Rattus norvegicus: one gene and its partner. Each later gene encodes a partner of the first gene's protein in a complex. Links are inferred from orthologs where the notes say so. Each region holds a gene or a part of one and is shown on either strand. Other genes may lie near its edges. The genes, in order: Flt1 and Vegfb.

Region 1 (4,334 bases):
GCGGCTCATAGCGGCCTTTCCTTTCTCCTGACCACGAAGGAGAGAAGAATTTCCCTGGCCTTGGCTCAGCGGCTCCCGCTGCCCTAGGAGAGCTGCGGGAGTGGGGGTGGGGGTGGGGGGGGTGGCGCAGACTCTCTTAGCAGTGAGGCAACTCGGGTTGCGCAACCTTCCCTACCGGAGATTTAGTCTAGTCCTTCAGGAAAAGCCTCTGGTCCCATTTAGGAGCCATTTTATCACCGGCATCTGGCAGGTTGCAATGAGCTATTTTTCAAACCTGCAGTATTTACAGGGACAAGACCGGGCTGCTCCGGGGAGGCCGGGACGACTTCAGCCTTCCAGTTAATGGATACATAATTGAGGAACAACGTGGAATTAGTGTCATCGTAAATGATCTAGTGTCTCAAGTTAATTTCACCCGTTTTTGTTCCAAGAACATTCGAGTCAGTCATCTTGGCTAGCCGGCTTCCACCAAAAAGATTTCTTTTCCATCCAGCGTTTCAGACATAGAGTTCAAGTTCTTGGCCCTTTACAAGTTGCAGGAGCGTGTCTCACGCCTTGGCTTTTGAAAAAGGTAACATGTTATTCCTTGTTTTGCTTCTAGGAAGCAGAGGGTTGAGGAAATGGCTTGGGCGGGTGCATTAATGCAGCCGAAAAAGACACAGACTCCCTCCCTTGGGACCCGCGCGGCCCCGCGCTCTTTCCGAAGGTGCCTGGCAAGGCGTCCGGTTCCTTCGGACGCTCCGGGTCCAAGTGCCTTAAGCGGAGGGTCTCTGGCGCCTTCCTTCGCCGTCTGGGAACAGTCTGGCGGGGTCAGGGACCGGCGGGACCGCTCAGGAGAGGGCTCGACTGCGCCTCGTTCCTCGGTGCCAGGGACACCGTCGCGGGGGCGCGGCCAGCTTCCCTAGGATAAGACTTCCCGCCCCGGGGGCAGGGCGGTGCACTTCGCCGGTCCCCTCCTCAGTTTCGGGCGGTCACCAGAGCTGAGTAAGCCCGGTGGAGGGAGCTGGGCAAGGATTTCCTGAGAGCGATGGGCAGGAGGGGCGGGGGCAGCAGGGCACCGAGCAAGGACGCTGAACCTGCGAACCTGCCCCGGGACCCGCGCGCCTAGCGCCACCGCACGCGCGCTCCGGCCCCCAGGCCACCCGCCCTCGCCGGCCCCCGCCCCTCCGGGAGGAAGAAGAGGGTAGGTGGGGAGGCGGATGAGGGGTGGGGGACCCCTTGACGTCACTAGAAGGAGGTGCCGGGGTAGGAAGTGGGCTGGGGAAGGTTATAAATCGCCCCCGCCCTCGGCTGCGCTTCAGCGAGGTCCTCGGGAGGCTCGGAGCGCGGTGGCGGACACTCCCCGGAGGTAGTGGTGGTAGTGGTGGCAGCAGCTCCGAGCGGGCTCCGGGACTCAAGCGCAGCGGCTAGCGGACGCGAGACTGGGAGGATCCCCTCCGCCCCCCACACCACCTCGGCTGCAGGCGCGAGAAGAGCTCTCGCGGCGCCATCAGGAGCAGGAGGGGACCGGCTCGGGCGGCTGCTCCGTCGGCCTCGGAGAGCGCGGGCACCGGGCCAGCAGGCCGCGTCGCGCTCACCATGGTCAGCTGCTGGGACACCGCGGTCCTGCCTTGCGCGCTGCTCGGGTGTCTGCTTCTCACAGGTGAGACGCGCCGGGGACCACGAGTTGGAGCTCGGCGGGGTTGGGCAGCCACGGGGTGGTCCGGGAGAGCGAGACTACAAGCGGGCAAGCGAGCTCCGGCGGGAGCCGGGGACACTTGTAGCAGTGGGTACGCCTCGGGACACACATCTTTTTTCCTCTCCCCCAGTGGGCGCCGCTGGAAGTTGGCATCACTGTTCAGACTCTCCTTAGCTCCGCGCTGGGGTCAGAGCCAGATTATCTGCGGAGTGCACCCGGAGCCGCTTGTCCCCTGCCAGGCTCTGGGGTAGGCGCTCGCTCCGTAGACTCTGGAAGTGCAGATCACCACACTGGTGGACCTTTTTGCATCCAGAGCCCGCTCCCCGGCTGAGGCTGAGTCCTCTAGGGTTAGCTAGAGCGAGCTAGATGTCAGAGAGGCTGCCCGGGGCTGGACAGAAGAGGGCTCGATAGCGATGATCTCGCTCTACCAGAGCAAAGGAGGTCAAATTTGGGAAGGATCCCGTGCCCGCGGCGAGCAGATGGAGCCAGCAAAGGGCCAGCTCTGGTTCCCGTACCCGCTTGGGACCGTCCGGAGGAAGTTGGGGAACGTACAGCGGGCACAGTTTCTTCCCCGCAGTTCGCTGAGCGCTGTCTCTCGGGTGGGGCCTCCGCGGGTGCGGGCCGGTGTGCGGTCCAGGTCGTCGGCGTGAGTGACTCAAAGCGCCCGGCAGCCTAGGGTCCAGTCTTCAAGTTTTGGAAATTTAAGCCCTACCTTTAGGTTATGAATCAAGGGGGGAGGACCTGGCAATTTGGACCGAAAGCTGTGGTTTAAGGAGTAGGTGAGGTATGCACATCGCCTAAATCAGCCTTCACTGGGATGTAAAAAGCGCTGGGGAGGTGGAGGGGAGGACGGATCAGGGACCAGCAGATTTTAAGAGCATTTAATGTGGAGACCTTTGTCATCCAAGGGTTAAAAAGCTGAATGGAGCTCGGGAACTCTTAACTCCAGGTCTGCAGGCACGAGGGGCGAAGGATCCTGTGAGGTCGCTTTGGGCAGAGCCAGATACCAGAACACCTTTCTTTAAAGCAACGTGGTTGGGGAAAAAAGGTAGAGAAGAAAGAGTCAGGATTGTAATGGCCCCAGAAAGAAAGGCAACACGGATTTTAAAGGCAGTAAGAACGAGCCTTTAGGAATGAGAAGACTGCACTTCCTTTCAAAGTAATGAGCAGGGGTTTATAATTAAAATGGATTGAAATGGTAAAGCCAGAACTCGACATGGGCTGGCTAGGTTCTAGAACAATGATATTAAACGAGTTCTTGTATTTTCTATTTCTCAAATGTTTTTGAAGAGCTGCTTATTCGAAATATAATCGCTTAGAGAGTTTAAATACTAGTTTACTATATAAAGGCAAAAGCTAGCTTAAAAATTACTGCAAACCCCCAAGTTATAGAGGGGGAAAACCCATGTCTCATTGGATTTTCTGCTTCGCACACGTGTCTTTACTTTTAAACTTTAAAGCGTGGTTGGTTTTAGCTAAGCGTAATTTTATATGGGGTTGAGACCAGCAGAGGCAGATTGAAGCAGTACAGAAACGGTACGGGTAACGGGTAACGTACGGAGTCGCTTTGCACCGGCTAGCCAGGCGCTGAGCCCCATCGGGTGTTAGAGCCTCTTTATTAGTTACGAACTACAATACTTTCGGGTCCTCTTTGTAGCTATGGAGACCACTGTCTCTTAAAAAGTTCAGTCTCCTGTTCAAGGTTTAAGACACCACACTCTTGTTTAACTCCATACCCTTGATTAACACCACACCAGCGTGCACTTCTTTTGCTCACCTCTCTCTCTCTCCTTCTCTCTCCCTTCTCACCCCTTTATCCTTCCCTCTCCCCCTCCCTTACTTTTCTTTAAGCAGCTAACATTTGGAGTTTGGTAGAACTAGTTAGAAATACTTAAATTTTGGGATTGGGGTGTGTGTATGGTAACTCTGAGTTAAAATAAAAATTATGCAAATATTAACAGCCAGGTGTGAGGGCTACATCCATATTCCAAGAACTCAAGACCTAAGGCAGAGGGATGGTGAGTTCTAACCAGAGACATTGGCTCTAAAGGGAGTCCCTTTCTCGATAAATTAATAATAATAATAATAATAATAATAATAATAATAATAATACCTATTTCAAAATTGAATAGAATGCATTTCTCATACATAGTTTTACATAGTGGTTTCTATTTTTTTTCTCCAAGACTTACAGAGCTGTGCTTTTCCCAAAATGGCATATTTTAAATGGGACTCTTATGGTTCATGTTGCTTTCCAACTGATCAGTCATCTTGCAGATAAACTGTGAACTAGGGTTTCTTTGAAAAAAAATCTTTTTAGTGCAGCATTAATTTTTTTCCTGGTTGAAAAGTCTTTAATAGGCTATATAGTTTCTTTTCAAATGATTCCCCAACTGGCATTTTTTTTCTTTTAAAAATTGGCAAAATTAAAAAATATAGTTGATTTTTTCCCCCCTCTATGCAAGAGTTTCTCTGTGTAGCCCTGGCTCTCCTGGAACTTACTCTGTAGACCAGGCTAGCCTCTGCCCTCCCAGTGCTGGGATGAAAGGTGTGGGCCACCACTATCTGGCCTAAAAATATGGTTGATTTCCGAAGGCTCCTTTTCAACTCTAAAATTCAGTGACTGAATTTCACAAAGCAAACAGAATGGGGTCCT
Region 2 (4,335 bases), on another chromosome or scaffold:
AGAGAAGGGCTACTTAAGTATTCGAGGCTCTCTCTCATACATCTCTGCTCTCTCAGAGCCTACAGAATGGAGCAAATATCTATCGTGTAAAGCCCGTGGAAAAAGTCTTCTTGAGTTCCCCTCCAGGAGATGGTTGATGGCTTAGATTAGATCGTTGTCCCTGTCATAGAGCTTAGCATCTTCTATTGGTGGTGACACCATCTCTCTCACCATCTGATTTGTGCATCTAGTCTTGAGCTAAGTTTCTGATGATCTGGGTGCCAGCAGATGCACAGTAAGTGATTTAACACATGCAGCTGTCTCCTCCTTCCCTGGTCTCTCCACCATTGGCAGGCCCATCTGGACCTGCCCCAGGACGCAGCATTGCTGCCTTCCCACACCAGTGCCACCCCACAGACTCCTCACCTGCAGGTATCTGGGTTGAGCTCTAAGCCCCGCCCTTGGCAATGGAGGAAGCGGCGGCGTCTGCAGCGGCAACGGCAGGTCCGGGGATCAGGGCGCTGACGGCGCTGGGTGCAGCGTGGGCAGAGGGTCCTGGGGCTGGAGTGGGATGGATGATGTCAGCTGGGGAGGATGCTCCCGGGGCAGAGTCCCAGCTCAGAACAGAGCGGGGCTGGGGACGGTGGTGGGGTATGGCAACCCTAGGAGGAGAAGCATCATGTCTGGGGTGGGAAGAGTCTTCCCAGGAGCTAGGGATAGGTCAGAATGTGTGGATTTGGGGAGTATAAAGGGGAAGGGGAGTCAGGAGAGAGGAGAAAGCAGAAGGGCTGCAGTCTCCTGGCTCCTGGCACCCCCAAACCCACCCATAAGCTCTCCTGGACCAGCACCAAGAAATCCAGGAACTCACCTGTCTGGCTTCACAGCACTCTCCTTTCTTTTTGGTCTGAAAAATAAGAGAGAGAGAGAGAGAGAGAGAGACAGAGAGAGAGAGAGAGACAGAGAGAGACAGAGACAGAGAGAGACAGAGACAGAGAGACAGAGAGAGAGAGACAGAGAGAGAGACAGAGACAGAGACAGACAGAGACAGAGAGAGAGAGAGAGAGAGAGAGAGAGAGAGAGAGAGAGAGAGGCAGAGAGAGAGAGAACGCGCGCTTGATTAAAGAAACCTCCTGCTCTCTTGCCCCAGAATCCATGCCTACTTCTGGCTCTGCTCTCAGTCACCTAATCCCTACTAAGTAAGGTACAGTCCCATGCCTGATACCCCCACCCCATGCTACACTTTGTGAACTTAAGGGTTGGACCTGGCTGGCACCTGCATTCACATTGGCTGTGTTCTTCCAGGGACATCTCCCCCAGCTGACTGCTCGGGTACTGGATCATGAGGATCTGTACTCAGGAGAATGGGGAAGAGACAGTGAGTGGTGGGGGGGGCAGCAGAAAGACAGAGAAAGGGGATACTAGATGGGCTAGAGAAGGAATGACCAGAACCTCCCACCTCCTGGGTACCTGTCTCTGGGTTGACCTAGTCCCCAGGACATCACTGTCCCATCAGCCTGCCTGACCCATAGGCCCCAGTACCTGCATTCGGACTTGGTGTTGCCCAATGGGCACACACTCCAGGCCATCGTCAGGACAGCAGCCACCACAGCGCTGCACAGTCACACAGCTGGGCACGAGTTGTTTGACCACATTACCCATGAGTTCCATGCTCAGAGGTACCACCACCTCCCTGGGCTGGCATGTGGCACGTGCATAAACATCTATCCATGACACCACTGTGGGCAGACCCAGATGGATTACGTTCTTATCGGGTTTCTGGCAGCTCCTTTGAGCATGTAGCCTCTCTGATACCCTGTCACCACCACCCCAACCATCCTTTAAACCTCTCTGCCGTGTTTCTCAAGAAATGATTAAGCCCTCTGCCTCAGTTTCTTCCTCTGTGAAATGGCATCTCCCGAAGGAGTTGGAAATCACACAAGGTAAGAGTCATGAAATCAGAACACATGCTAACTAACCCCTCTCAGTACTGGCTTGTGTCAAGTTATTGTTAACTATTATTACCTTTCTTCTGGTGGCTGGGGCCATCAAACTGGGACACAGGGGCCTGTAGGAAAGAAGATACCTGGGCCCAAGATGCACTCTAAAAGGGCTGGCCCTGTGGCTATGTAAGGGCTCTGTCCTTGATTGAGTCAGGCTTCTGTGCCTTTCTGACATCTTTCCAGATTGTTCTGTTCCCAGGACCTCGGCTCCAATTTTTCTTGTACACGCAGCCATCTGGTACTTTCCCTAGTCCAAGACCCACCAGACATACTCTGGGAATGGTGCTAAACCCCAAGCCTTAGAGCTGGGGCTTGTTTTAAGTCAGGAGCCGGGATAGTGGGAGACAAACGAGGTTCGGAGGGCACTGAGGCAGCTCCGCCCTCCAACCGCCCAGAGGATGGGGTGAGGTGGGGGAGTGGCCCCGGGAGCTAGAGCTAGGGCTGCCGGGCCTGCGCCGAGGGGCACCTCTTCAGGGATATTCCCGGTCTGAACAGCGGATCCCCTTGGCAGAAGTAGCGGGCGCCTCCCCACTTCCGCCAACCTTGAGAGGGCACCGCGGGCGGGCGAGCGAGCGGGATGTCTCTAACACACGTACCTGGGTACAGGCCAGCTGCAGCAGCGCAACAAGCAGCAAGCGACGGAGCAGGGGGCTCATGGTGCCCGCGGGGGCCGAGCGCCGGGGGCGACCGCATTGCCCTAGCCCGGCGGCGCGGGGGGCGGCGGCAGCCAGAGTCCCATGGCGCGGGCCCGGGTGTGGGGACCCCGGGCCGGGCGCGGGGGGCGGCTCCTCCGCGGCCCCCTCCCGAGCCCTGGGCGCAGGCAGCGCAACGTAGCGCCTCAGCGGCGGCAGAAGGAACGAGACAGGCAGGCGGCCTGTGTTGGTGGTGGTGGCCGGGACGGCGGGCAGCGGGGACGGCGGGGGTGGCAGGGGGCCTGGCCGGGGCTGGCGGACAAGAGGCTCATGTGACCTAAACACGCGCTCCCCACCCGGCTGCGGGCGGAGGCGGGGCGGGGGCGGAGCCGGTCCCCTCCAAACGCCCCCTCCGGCCGCTGCAGGGGAAAGGGGACACACCGCCCTGGAGGCCGGGCTCCCAGGGTCGCTGCCTCACGAGGGGAGGGATGAGGAGATGAGTGACCTGAAGGACCGAGTCGGATAGGAGTCTGAATATGAGTTTATTGCACGTGTAGTCCTAGACAGGCAGCAAGGGGAGGACCAATACAGGTCCCACCTAGGTAAGCCTCTCACTGGCTTGTGTCCTGGGGCATGATCCTGGAACTTTCTGGAGGCAGAGAGGGTTCTGTTGGAGGCTGCCTCTGCTGGTGCTTCTGCTGAATCCTGGCTCTGTTGGCCCTGGAAGGAAAGACAGATCAGGACAGGGATCCTGGAGGGTGGTGCTGAAGCAGGAGGCAAAGTCAGAGCAGTGACAGACCTGGCCCTGGCCCGAGTGTCATTGTAGATGGCTGTGATGATCCGATCCTTTTCGTCCATGAAGCTGCGATGCACCTGCTCCAGCTTCCTGTGAGGAAACTGCAATTAACCCCGAGTCTCTGAACTCTGGTGTCCCTAAGCCCTGATCTAACCAGGCTCTAGCATATCTCACACAACTTTACATCTCTCCCCCATAACAGACACCTGTGATGAGTTGAAAGAAAGATACAAGTGGCCCAAGTCCCAGAGCTGGGTGGTACCCTAAGTCCTGGGTAGTACCCTAAGTCCCGGGCTATCCTGTGGAGGTTGGTGAAACAGCTCTGAAGTCAGGGAGCAGTTCATCTCCATTGCTAGATGGAGCGGACAGTGGGTTCCATCCTTTGAGTTTCTATGCTGCAGAAAACTGGTATTACAGCATGCATGAAAGTGGCAGCTATCAAGGACTGGCTGTGACACTGTGCTTGGCCTCCCTTCCTCTATCTTCTTTCTTTCTATGTTGAGACACGGTTTAATGTAGCCTAGGCTAGCCTCAAACTTGGTATGTAACCAAGGATGACCCTGAACTTTCTAAAAAACATTGCTGGGAGGCGATGCTTCACACCTTTAATCCCAGCACTTGGGAAGTAAAAACTCATTTATGAAGTGCTAAGAGAGAACCCCAGGGTTTTGACCATGCCCTCTTTGTGTATGGTTTTGGATAGCTCCAGCCCTAACAACAAGCAGCGTCAAAGATTAACATTCAAGCAATGAGAAACAGAAAACAACTTTAGCCCTTGTGTGCAGTTCTGCCTTTACCCAGCAAGGCAAGGCTCCAATTCTTGATTTCACAAAGTTCTTAACTTGAGAGAGACAAACTATGCAGGTCATAGGCTGCTGTGGCTGGCTGGCCACACCACTCTTGACCCACCCTCCACCCAGTACCTCAG

The links.
Region 2: the proteins of Flt1 (region 1) and Vegfb are in contact, whole or in part, in a crystal structure (PDB 2XAC), measured with the Homo sapiens proteins. The link is inferred for Rattus norvegicus from reciprocal best matches to the Homo sapiens genes FLT1 and VEGFB. Residues at the interface, in NP_002010.2 of Homo sapiens: Tyr139, Glu141, Pro143, Phe172, Pro173, Tyr199, Ile202, Gly203, Leu204, Asn219, Leu221, Arg224, Thr226; in NP_003368.1 of Homo sapiens: Ser37, Trp38, Ile39, Tyr42, Thr43, Thr46, Cys47, Gln48, Pro83, Asp84, Asp85, Gly86, Leu87, Cys124, Arg125, Pro126.

The regions. Positions count from the first base shown.
Region 1 is NC_086030.1:12,332,087-12,336,420, forward strand, and holds the start of Flt1 (vascular endothelial growth factor receptor 1 isoform 1 precursor), read left to right. Parts: upstream 1-1,343; 5' UTR 1,344-1,578; coding exon 1,579-1,642; intron 1,643-4,334. UniProt on the Homo sapiens protein: Tyrosine-protein kinase that acts as a cell-surface receptor for VEGFA, VEGFB and PGF, and plays an essential role in the development of embryonic vasculature, the regulation of angiogenesis, cell survival, cell migration, macrophage function, chemotaxis, and cancer cell invasion.
Region 2 is NC_086019.1:213,604,263-213,608,597, forward strand, and holds the start of Vegfb (vascular endothelial growth factor B precursor), read right to left. Parts: upstream 2,891-4,335; 5' UTR 2,636-2,890; coding exon 2,576-2,635; intron 2,045-2,575; coding exon 2,002-2,044; intron 1,716-2,001; coding exon 1,519-1,715; intron 1,327-1,518; coding exon 1,253-1,326; intron 884-1,252; coding exon 848-883; intron 642-847; coding exon of another isoform or gene 541-641; coding exon 406-540; intron 254-405; coding exon 238-253; 3' UTR 1-237. Other genes in the region: Dnajc4 (dnaJ homolog subfamily C member 4), read right to left, coding at 3,223-3,331, 3,411-3,497. UniProt on the Homo sapiens protein: Growth factor for endothelial cells. VEGF-B167 binds heparin and neuropilin-1 whereas the binding to neuropilin-1 of VEGF-B186 is regulated by proteolysis.